Linked DNA regions of Saccharomyces cerevisiae S288C. The gene in region 1 interacts genetically with each later gene. Each region holds a gene or a part of one and is shown in the gene's direction. Other genes may lie near its edges.

Evidence for each region. Genes that interact genetically often act in the same process or in processes that back each other up.
Region 2: mutations in MET12 (region 1) and YAP1802 together harm fitness more than expected from each alone (negative genetic interaction), as found in Saccharomyces cerevisiae (2 studies listed by BioGRID).
Region 3: mutations in MET12 (region 1) and CRP1 together harm fitness less than expected from each alone (positive genetic interaction), as found in Saccharomyces cerevisiae (2 studies listed by BioGRID).

The regions. Positions count from the first base shown.
Region 1 is NC_001148.4:503,768-507,837, reverse strand, and holds MET12 (methylenetetrahydrofolate reductase (NAD(P)H) MET12), read left to right. Parts: upstream 1-1,525; coding exon 1,526-3,499; downstream 3,500-4,070. Other genes in the region: ssDNA endodeoxyribonuclease RAD1, read right to left, coding at 1-1,141; RMI1 (Rmi1p), read right to left, coding at 3,596-4,070.
Region 2 is NC_001139.9:974,375-978,586, reverse strand, and holds YAP1802 (Yap1802p), read left to right. Parts: upstream 1-2,005; coding exon 2,006-3,712; downstream 3,713-4,212. Other genes in the region: LSC2 (succinate--CoA ligase (GDP-forming) subunit beta), read left to right, coding at 1-551; MPC3 (mitochondrial pyruvate carrier), read right to left, coding at 811-1,251; YGR240C-A (uncharacterized protein), read left to right, coding at 3,810-4,010. UniProt on the Saccharomyces cerevisiae protein: Involved in endocytosis and clathrin cage assembly.
Region 3 is NC_001140.6:388,619-392,197, forward strand, and holds CRP1 (Crp1p), read left to right. Parts: upstream 1-1,681; coding exon 1,682-3,079; downstream 3,080-3,579. Other genes in the region: DCD1 (deoxycytidine monophosphate deaminase), read right to left, coding at 1-108.

The DNA.
Region 1 (4,070 bases):
CCATCACCGAGTCAATTGACCTGATAAAGTTTATATCCAGGACATTTTCCATATTCCACCAGTCCAGAGCTAGTTCAGGATTTTTTCTGCTTAACTCAGCAATACATTTTTTCAAACATTCCATCAAGCCAAACTGTATCTGAGACATGGAATTTGTTAAGGAGACCTTGACTTCAATGACTTTATTGTGTGACGTCTTATTAGTGGCATTCAAACAGGAAGAGACCTCTACCCTGAACCTCGGCCATAGCAAAACGTTCTTTAGCCGTAATTCTTTCATTTTCGTCCTGAGGGGTGAAAATTCCATGACAAACGTCTCTGGTGCTTCAGAAAAGGCTTTAATAAAACCCCAAGTATTTTTAGACCTGTAAATCTCTAATATAAACGATTCATTCGAATTATGTCGAAGTGAGTCTGCATTCAATACCAGCATACCCGTAACCCTATTTGGGTGAACAATGCCGGATAAGAGATCCACAATGAGAATTCTAGAAGTAATGCTCAAGATTCCGCCAGAAATATATAGCTTTCTTCTCTTTTCAATGCTCAGCGAGTCCGCGGTAACTACGTTAAAAGGCCTTTCAAAAAGTTCATCATCGCTCTCGACAGCAGTATCGTCGTCGTCCTTCCCAGTATTAGAGAACCACGACAGCTCTTCTAAGGCCTCCTTGATTCTTACATTATCTATAGGTTTTGCATTCAACACTAGGACGAGCGCTCGCTTTAGTTGTCCGTTAATGGATGTTGGTGTAGCTAAAACATGCAATAAATTGGCCACAATATCAAGCAATCCTAGTCCTTTCCCCATTATGATTAATGCATCTTCAGTAATTAATGAATTCTCTACCACTTTTTGCTGAAACGGCAATGGTAAAGTCAATTGAATATCAACTGGCCTAATATCGTTAATATTGGGCTTAGACGTTTCTATGTCATCTGGCTCATTAGGTATAAGAGGGTATAACACTGCATCGTCATCTAAAACTTTGCTATCTTCATTTTCCACCTCATTAAGATGATTGGAGTCGTCGGGTTCATCTTCATTTTTAATTTTAGAACTTTGAGATGCTTGAGTTGTCTGCCTCGTAAGTTCCTCCTGGAGCTCATCATCAGAGTCGCCCTGATAAAATAACTGAGACATCTGGAAAGATATTTTCAACAGGATAGTGCAATATTATTTTTACACATTTAGCAAATGCTCTACCAACGTCCTGAACCCTCCAGTACACCTGTGCTCTCTCCTCTCCTATGCGCCACGCAGACAAAAGTTTACTCGTCCCGACTTTTTTTTTTCATTAGACGCGATATTGACTGTGGCTATAGCTTACTCCAGGAGATAAGCGAGTAAAGCTTTTTCTAACTTCAATGATGAAGAAAAGTCGCAAAATAAAGGCAAACAGAGAACACTTCAGGTTGTTGGTTACATTGGAAGAGGGACTTAAGCTCTCACATCATCTATTTTGTTTCAAGTTCGTACATTTTTTGAAGCGTGTTGGACGGGACAGGTTGATTACATTTTTTAAACATGTCCATCAGAGATTTATATCATGCGAGGGCTTCCCCTTTTATATCGTTAGAATTCTTCCCTCCAAAGACTGAATTAGGGACGAGAAATTTGATGGAACGTATGCATCGTATGACTGCTTTAGATCCACTGTTTATCACGGTTACTTGGGGAGCAGGTGGTACTACTGCGGAAAAGACTCTGACATTAGCTTCCTTGGCACAGCAGACACTAAATATACCAGTTTGTATGCATTTGACCTGTACAAACACAGAAAAAGCCATCATTGATGATGCGCTGGATAGATGTTATAATGCAGGAATCAGGAATATTTTGGCTCTTCGAGGTGACCCACCTATTGGGGAAGATTGGCTAGATTCTCAATCGAACGAATCACCTTTTAAATATGCGGTTGATTTAGTTCGTTATATCAAGCAAAGCTACGGAGACAAGTTCTGCGTCGGTGTTGCAGCATATCCAGAAGGTCATTGTGAAGGTGAAGCAGAAGGTCACGAGCAAGACCCATTGAAGGATTTGGTATATTTAAAAGAAAAAGTTGAAGCTGGGGCCGATTTTGTGATAACACAACTGTTTTACGACGTTGAAAAATTCTTAACTTTTGAAATGCTATTTCGGGAACGGATTTCGCAAGATTTGCCCCTTTTCCCTGGGTTGATGCCTATTAACTCCTATCTGCTTTTCCACAGAGCAGCAAAGTTATCACATGCATCTATTCCACCTGCAATACTGAGTAGGTTCCCCCCAGAAATCCAATCGGATGATAATGCCGTGAAGTCCATTGGTGTGGACATTCTTATCGAATTGATTCAGGAAATATATCAAAGAACATCTGGTAGAATTAAAGGGTTTCATTTCTATACATTAAATTTGGAAAAGGCTATTGCTCAAATTGTCTCGCAATCTCCCGTCTTATCCCATATCGTAAATGAATCTAGCGAAGAAGAGGGAGAAGATGAAACCAGTGGCGAAATAGGAAGCATAGAAAATGTGCCAATAGAAGATGCTGACGGGGATATTGTGTTGGATGATTCGAATGAAGAAACTGTAGCAAACCGGAAAAGGAGAAGGCATTCAAGTCTTGATTCGGCCAAGTTGATTTTCAATAGGGCTATCGTCACTGAAAAAGGCTTACGCTATAATAATGAGAATGGTTCCATGCCATCTAAAAAGGCTTTAATATCTATTTCTAAAGGTCACGGAACTTTGGGTCGTGATGCCACTTGGGATGAGTTCCCCAATGGTAGATTTGGTGACTCCAGGTCTCCCGCATATGGTGAAATAGACGGTTATGGGCCATCCATCAAGGTAAGCAAAAGCAAAGCGCTTGAACTATGGGGTATACCAAAGACAATTGGCGATTTAAAAGATATTTTTATAAAATATTTGGAAGGTTCAACGGATGCGATTCCCTGGTCTGACCTGGGTTTATCAGCTGAAACGGCGTTAATACAAGAAGAACTAATCCAACTAAACTATCGCGGATATTTGACTTTGGCATCGCAACCTGCCACAAATGCTACATTGAGTAGTGATAAAATATTCGGCTGGGGGCCCGCGAAAGGGAGGTTGTATCAGAAGGCATTCGTAGAAATGTTTATTCATAGACAGCAATGGGAAACAACTTTGAAACCCAAGCTAGACCATTACGGGCGTCGGAAATTCAGTTATTACGCGGGCGATTCATCTGGTTCATTTGAAACGAACCTAGACCCGCACAGCTCTAGCGTTGTAACATGGGGTGTTTTTCCCAACAGTCCGGTCAAACAGACTACAATCATTGAAGAAGAGTCATTCAAGGCATGGAGAGATGAAGCGTTTAGTATCTGGTCCGAGTGGGCCAAGTTATTTCCAAGGAACACCCCAGCCAATATTCTTCTAAGACTAGTGCATAAAGACTACTGTCTTGTCTCAATTGTTCATCACGACTTCAAAGAAACCGACGAGCTATGGGAAATGTTACTCGACCAAGCCTAATATTTCACTGAATATAAATACAAAAATGCGAAAATAATGTAATATTTAACGTATACATAACGGGCAGAACGCCCTTCTAAGAAGAAGAGGCATATGCTAATCATTGGCTTTCCTTTTCTTGGAGCCGCCATTTACAAGTTGTTTGTCACGTTGTAATTTAGATTCCAAATAATCACAAAATTTCTGATCTCTATTTTCATTCCAAACTCTATTAATGCCGCCGAGAAAAATGACTTGTGAGTCCTTCAATATGAAAACGCCCCTATTGAACACAGTTCCCGGCAGTATCACAATTTTAGAACCCAGCATGCAAGAGCTCCAAGATATTGGAGTCGAGTTGATAGCAAAAAAAACGTCGCCCGACTTACTTTGTAGTGTCAATTTAAACACTGCTTTATTCTTGGCGGCACTGCTATTATTGTTGCTATTATTTTCCTTGGCGCAGTTGTTATCCGCCACATTCCCGTCATCTTCCATGTCCACTTGAGTGATGACCTCGTACTTCTTAGCGCCATTTCCTTGCGCGCCTGATCGTAGTCTATCCACTTTCTGTTTTTTCGGATCCAGCTTG
Region 2 (4,212 bases), on another chromosome or scaffold:
CAACCCACAAAATCATGTGTACAGACGCCAAATTTGGGTTTGATGATAACGCATCATTCAGACAGGAAAAGATATATTCCTGGAGGGACTTATCACAAGAAGATCCTGATGAAGTTAAGGCAAAGAAGTATGATTTGAATTTTGTTAAGTTGAAGGGTAACATTGGATGTTTAGTCAATGGTGCTGGTTTGGCTATGGCTACTATGGATGTCATCAAATTAAATGGAGGCGATCCTGCGAACTTTTTGGATTGTGGTGGTGGTGCCACCCCTGAGACCATCAAACAAGGTTTCGAATTGATCTTATCCAATAAGAACGTAGATGCAATTTTCGTCAATATTTTCGGCGGTATCGTAAGATGTGACTATGTTGCCCTGGGGCTGGTAGAAGCCGCCAGAGAACTAGAAGTTAGGGTCCCCATTGTGGCACGTTTGCAAGGTACCAAAGTAGAAGAAGGCCGCGACATTATCAATAAGTCAGGCGTGAAGATTTATTCGTTTGATGAATTAGATCCTGCTGCTAAAAAGGTCGTTGAATTGACCCAAAATTAAGCTTCTCGAGAAAAACAAAAGAGTTAATAATAAAGTATATATGCTTTTTTACTATTAATAAAGTTTCTTATTTTCCCTACATGTATACATACATATAAATATACTCTTTTGGAAAAAATTTCTTTTTTTTTTTTTTAATTTTTTTATATTTTTCCATCTTTTGATGTAATATAGAGGTTATATAATGAAAGAATATATAAGAGGTCATAAAAAATCATTAAAAAAATGCGAGTTCAGGAACATATTATCGTTTACGTAATCAGTGCGTTATTGGCGGATTAGTACCGATCACACCTTTGTTCATCGATGTGGATGCAGTTTGCTTTGCTGCGACGGCTGCAGGAGTCTCCCCTTTTATTATGTAGTGAATAACCTGTTTAAAAGAATCACCGTTCCGTATCCTAAAGTTAGCAATTCTTGTTAGATGGTAGCCTGCAGTGCAACCCAGGAAAAAATTGACGGAAGCTAACAGATAGTTCTTGGGCTTGATGACAAACGACCAACGCGTCCAAATCAGTGCCGTCGCTAATAAAGATAAATTTTGTGCTCCTGATACCTTCTCAACAGGCCTCTTAATATCATTTAGCCCTGCGAAGACCAGCCCCCACTTCAAAGTTGGGGCCCAGAAGTGTACTGTTTTAGGGCCTGTTTCACTATTCCAAAATCTTCTAAAGGCAAAATTAAAAGCTGATGCTGACATTAAAAATATAGGTTTGTGTTTCTATGTGTCTTGAATGCTTATGCGTATAGTCTTAAAGACTGATTGTATTCTTTTTTTTTATATGAAGTATTTCCGCCGTAATGAAAGGGAAAAGAAAATTTTCTCCAATACTCCAATTGCAACGCACCATATTATCCGGGAGAATACACGCACGCAGCCGCATATATATATATGATGGCCTTAGTTTTGTTTGAGCCTTTCGGTTTTGCGTGACCAAACCAGGGAGCGGCTCGCTTGACCCGCCCACGGAATGACGTAAAGCCGTTAATAGCCGATTGGCGGGAGAAATAAAAGCGGGGCACTCCCAAGATGAGGGGTAATCGGGGTAATAATATCCAATCAAGGAGGAAAAGGGCCAAATGTTACCCGACTATCCAAACTGCAGGGTAACCTTTATTTTTTCTTTTCTTTTACTCCTACCATTTTTTTTTTCAGATTTTTCCCAGTATGGCTTTGTTTTCATTTTGCTTTGGTGGAGGGATAGATTAAGTTTGCAGCTGCGTAGAAAAGTTTCTTTTCTACATTCGAGGAAAAAGTCGACTTATTAGTCTGGTTAACTTGTTATTAGGGCTTCTTGCTTGAGTTATAATTTTAGAAGGAGAAAAAATAAATCTGTAGCAGGAGTACCAATTTGCTACGCTTGCTAACATCTACGAGAGTAACAATATCAAGCATACAAGCGCGACTGTCTCGGCTACCCCTATAATAGATATAGAGGCGTGTTTGTGAAACAATGTCTTCATTATATACTAAGTTGGTTAAAGGGGCGACCAAAATAAAGATGGCCCCTCCAAAGCAAAAATATGTGGACCCTATTCTCTCGGGCACTTCGAGCGCAAGAGGATTGCAAGAGATTACCCACGCATTGGATATAAGGTTGTCTGATACAGCCTGGACCATTGTTTATAAGGCATTGATTGTGTTGCATCTGATGATACAACAAGGCGAAAAAGATGTCACGCTAAGGCACTATTCCCATAATTTGGATGTTTTCCAATTGAGAAAGATTTCGCATACTACTAAGTGGTCTTCCAATGATATGAGGGCTTTGCAGAGATACGACGAATACCTAAAAACACGTTGTGAAGAGTATGGCAGGCTAGGTATGGATCACCTACGAGACAATTACTCCTCGCTAAAGCTGGGCAGTAAGAACCAGCTTTCAATGGATGAAGAGCTAGATCATGTTGAATCATTGGAAATTCAAATTAATGCCTTGATAAGGAATAAATACTCTGTTTCAGATTTAGAAAACCATTTGTTATTGTATGCATTCCAATTGTTAGTACAAGATTTACTAGGTCTGTACAATGCTCTTAATGAAGGTGTCATTACACTTTTAGAATCATTCTTCGAATTGTCCATTGAGCACGCAAAAAGAACACTGGATCTCTATAAGGATTTCGTGGATATGACAGAATATGTTGTTAGATACCTAAAAATAGGAAAAGCTGTCGGTTTGAAAATCCCCGTTATCAAACATATTACTACAAAGTTAATTAACTCCCTTGAGGAGCATTTGAGAGAGGAAACAAAAAGACAAAGAGGTGAACCTTCTGAACCGCAGCAAGATAGAAAACCATCTACGGCCATTAGCTCTACCAGTAGTCACAATAACAACAGCAATGACAAGAATAAGTCTATAGCGCAGAAGAAACTGGAACAGATAAGGGAACAAAAAAGACTGCTGGAGCAACAATTACAAAACCAACAGTTGCTCATTTCCCCCACGGTCCCACAAGATGCTTACAACCCATTTGGATCACAACAGCAAGATTTAAATAATGACACCTTTTCATTCGAACCAACCCAGCCACAAATGACCGCTCAAGTCCCTCAACCAACTGCTAACCCCTTCTTGATACCGCAACAACAGCAACAGGCTTTACAGTTGACATCTGCGTCTACAATGCCACAACCAAGTGAGATACAGATTACTCCAAATTTGAATAATCAACAAACTGGGATGTATGCTTCTAACCTTCAATACACCCCAAATTTCACCGGCTCAGGGTTCGGCGGATACACGACCACCGAGAACAATGCAATTATGACCGGCACTTTAGATCCAACAAAAACGGGGTCTAACAACCCATTTTCGCTAGAAAATATTGCCAGAGAACAGCAACAACAAAATTTCCAAAACTCCCCAAATCCTTTTACCCTCCAACAAGCACAAACCACCCCGATTCTTGCTCATAGTCAAACAGGTAATCCATTTCAGGCTCAAAACGTGGTGACATCACCAATGGGCACATACATGACGAATCCCGTGGCCGGTCAACTTCAGTATGCCTCTACTGGTGCGCAGCAGCAACCACAAATGATGCAGGGTCAGCAAACAGGGTATGTTATGGTTCCCACTGCGTTTGTCCCCATCAATCAACAACAGCAACAACAGCAGCATCAGCAAGAAAATCCTAACTTAATAGATATATAGTGAGCGATAGATACTACAGTTTTTTGTTCTCAACAGGCCGTCCTTGCATATTATAAACTCTGATTTTTAGGTAATCCCTTCCACCTTTCTATATTTTATGATACTATCCAAACATGTAAATTTTACGTACCATACATATAACCTCATCTATAATTTTTACCCTGATCTAACTAACTTTGGCATGCCTGGTTCAATCTACGGGTTACAGTCATCGTTGAAAACGATGGAAAAACATGTCGAGATTCCTCAATCCATACACCATTATAGTCCGTTTTATCAGCTTCCACTAATTTTTTAAATCTCAGTTTCTTCTTGAAATTTAGCATCGTGCATGGGATAGCGGCTAGTAAAAAAGAAAATTAATATCTCATTAACAAAGTTATTGTACATAATCCGGTACAATATTCTTCAATGTACTCTCTAATATCGAGCACACTGGCAATATTCATGCACACATTCGCCTAATGCTGACGAATGCTTAATCAGTGCAATTACTGCCA
Region 3 (3,579 bases), on another chromosome or scaffold:
CTCTGGATTATCTAGGTGATTGAGTAATTCAAAATGAAAATGATCAACCAACATGTTAATAACATCTTCGCATCCGCAAAATTTCGTACCACTTACACCAATTAACATAATCGTGTTATATTGATTAGTGTAGCATTCACACCTTTAATGTGCCAAAAAAAGATGTTGAATTCTATGGTAATGCAGAAGTTTCAATTCTCGAGATTGCCTACATCATCTCATAACTGCGTACCGCGCGTTCTTGCAAAGAACAAAAAAGTGAAAAAATTATAATGGGGCGAGCTGGGAATTGAACCCAGGGCCTCTCGCATGCTTTGTCTTCCTGTTTAGGCAGGAAGTCGCCCAAAGCGAGAATCATACCACTAGACCACACGCCCATGTATCTGTTGGTGTTCTAAATAAAGAATTAAACTATGTAGGCATAAAAAGAGACGGGAGCATCTTAAAGATGCAACTGGATGGAGAATGGCAAAATATGAAGAAGAAGGAAGGAAAAGAAATATTATTATGCGTAACTGTTGATTCCTTTTTGTGGATTTCTTGAGGAGAATGTCTTTTTGAAGAGTGGGTGAATTTTGAGATAATTGTTGGGATTCCATTTTTAATAAGGCAATAATATTAGGTATGTAGAATGTACTAGAAGTTCTCCTCGAGGATTTAGGAATCCATAAAAGGGAATCTGCAATTCTACACAATTCTATAAATATTATTATCATCATTTTATATGTTAATATTCATTGATCCTATTACATTATCAATCCTTGCGTTTCAGCTTCCACTAATTTAGATGACTATTTCTCATCATTTGCGTCATCTTCTAACACCGTATATGATAATATACTAGTAACGTAAATACTAGTTAGTAGATGATAGTTGATTTTTATTCCAACACTTTTATATATTCTGTATTTGATGTTATAGCTTTATCAATTACAGAATGCCAAAAATTATCAAATTATTCACCAATATCCCAAATTTTAATGCAACCGTTATGATCCGACTATTGATAAAGGAAATTCCTATTCTACATAATGTTACTGGTATTTCTTCTTCCGTTTTTTATGTCGTCATTCGTCATCCTATTGCATTATCAATCTTTGCGTTTCAGCTTCCATTAAATTATGAAGATTATTTTTCAATCTTAAAGTCATCTTCTTACACTGGATATAATAATATACTAGCAGTATGAATATTAGTCGATAGACGATAGTTGGTTCTATTTCGACGGGTAATATTCTACTAATACCAATGACACTATTAATTTACCTAACAGAAATTCTTCTTCAATTGACCCTAGCGTTTGCCTTATTATCAAGACACTGAAGGTAAAGTTGCCGATAAACTTTTTGGGTTCCACTGTGCACCTATTTCTATGCTTCAATAAGCAGTTCCAGGTAAGGTTTCACCATTTCAACCCAAGTAAATGCTATGTAGTTATAATATTAATTAATGTGTTCTACTGGTTTTTCTGTGCATAAAAAAGACGCTCTGACGCCATTTATCTTGGTGTGTTACCCGTTAGGAAAAGTGGCGTTGCTAAAATTGTTGAAACCCGATCTCATCGCCTGGTAAACAATACAAACAAGGATTTGAACAAGGTTTTATCATTTTCTGATACGTTTTTTGTACTTACAAAATAAAAGATACAAAAATCACTAAGAAAACTAATCTATCAATAAAAATGAGTAGTGAACTCATGTTCAACTATACTTTTAGCTGGCCTGCTGGTCCAAAAGATGTTATTTTAACAGGAACGTTTGATGACTGGAGGGGCACTTTACCCCTCGTGAAGACCGCCAAGGGAAATTTCGAAATTACTATGCCCGTGAAGCTAGCCAACAAGGATGATACGTTTCAGTTTAAGTTTATTGTGGATGGCGTTTGGTGCGTTAGTGATTCGTATAAAAAGGAGCATGTTAGTGAAGGAATCGAAAACAATTTCTTACAAATTACCGATTTAGTTGAAACGCAGGAAGTTGCCGGTGCCAGTAGAATCCCGGAGGCAGGTGGCCTATTATGTGGTAAACCGCCTCGTTCAGCAGGTCCTCCTTCTACAAGTAATAGAAAGAAAAACAAGCGTAACAATAAGAAAAGAAGATCTAAATTGAAGAAAAAGAGTACTAAGAACAACAAGAAGTCAAATGAAAGTTTAGACGATAATGAAGAAGAAGACGGGGTGACTGGAACTACTACTGAAGATGTTACTGGAACCTCTAGGGAAGAAACTCCATTGGCGGAGCCTACTAATGTTTCCAAAGAAGCTCCGGGCAATTTCCATATTCTGCCAATCGATCAAAGTGCAGACACAACTCAATCAAATGGTATAATTGGTGGACCAGGTCCTGTTCTTGTCCCAAACCCTGGTGAAATCAAGGAATTTACCGAAATTAGAGACGTTGATGCTAGGGAATTGAATGAAAGACTTAACAAAAAAGAAGAGGTTCCAGAACCCGTTGCTGGCCCTATTGTTGAATCATCAGTTACGGAAAAGAGTCCTGCTCTTCCACAAGCTGACGACCCGATTGTTGAGACCAAGGAAGTGGCTCATAATGTGCAGGAACTTACTCCTCAAGTGGAAGCGGTTACTCCGTTAATAAATGAGCCCGAACCATTACCAACTCCGGAAGCACAAATATCTATACCTGAGTCATCGAAAGTTGAACCAGTGGAGGGGTCTCTTCAATCTAAGTTGGTGGAGAAACGTGAGTCCACTGAAGGTGTATTAGACGGTTCCAAAAAAGTAGAAAATAAGGCAAAAAAAGATGAAGAGGTCTTTACATTAGACCCCATCGTTAACAAAGCTCCCAAGCTACCCTTGACTGACGAGCAAACAGCTGAAGGTAGAAAATCACCAGCAGTGTCAGAAGAAAAAGAAAAGAAAAAGAAGCAAGAAAAAGGCTCTAAAGAGGTCAAGAGGTCAGAAACCAGTAAAGAAAAAAAGCCTTCTGCCAAAGAGGTTAAGAAACAAACTGTAAAAGCCCCAAAGAAACAGACAGCTTCTCCTTTGTCTTCTTCGACAGAAGAGCCCAAGAAGAAGAAAACTGGTTTCTTCGGCAAATTGAAGAAGCTATTTAAGTGAATTATCTAAGGATTGGTCTCATGTTGCCGAATCATAGAAATATAAGAAAAAAATTAAAAAAAAAAAGAAAGAAAGTATAATACTAATATTGGCAATAATGCTAACACATTACTAATAATAGCAATAATATTAATAATAATAATAATAATAATAAATTATAATAATAGCAGTAATAAAAATATCAAATAATAATAATAGTAATAGTAGTAGTAGTAGTAGCAGTTGTAGTAATGATAATAATAATATAATAATAATATAATAATAGTATAATAATAGTATAAGTAGTTGTAGGTAAAAATCTTTGATTTATCTTATCTGGTTGCAATGCTTCTCCCCTCTGATGCCTAATATGTCTATCTTTATCCTATACCAATTGGCAGGGGAGCAATCATAATTTACATTAATATCGTCCACCATACCCTGAAATTCCAAAAGAGTTCGAGAAATTGGAAGGTACAGCATTTCATTTACTCACTTATTTGATCTTTTCTTTTGTTTTC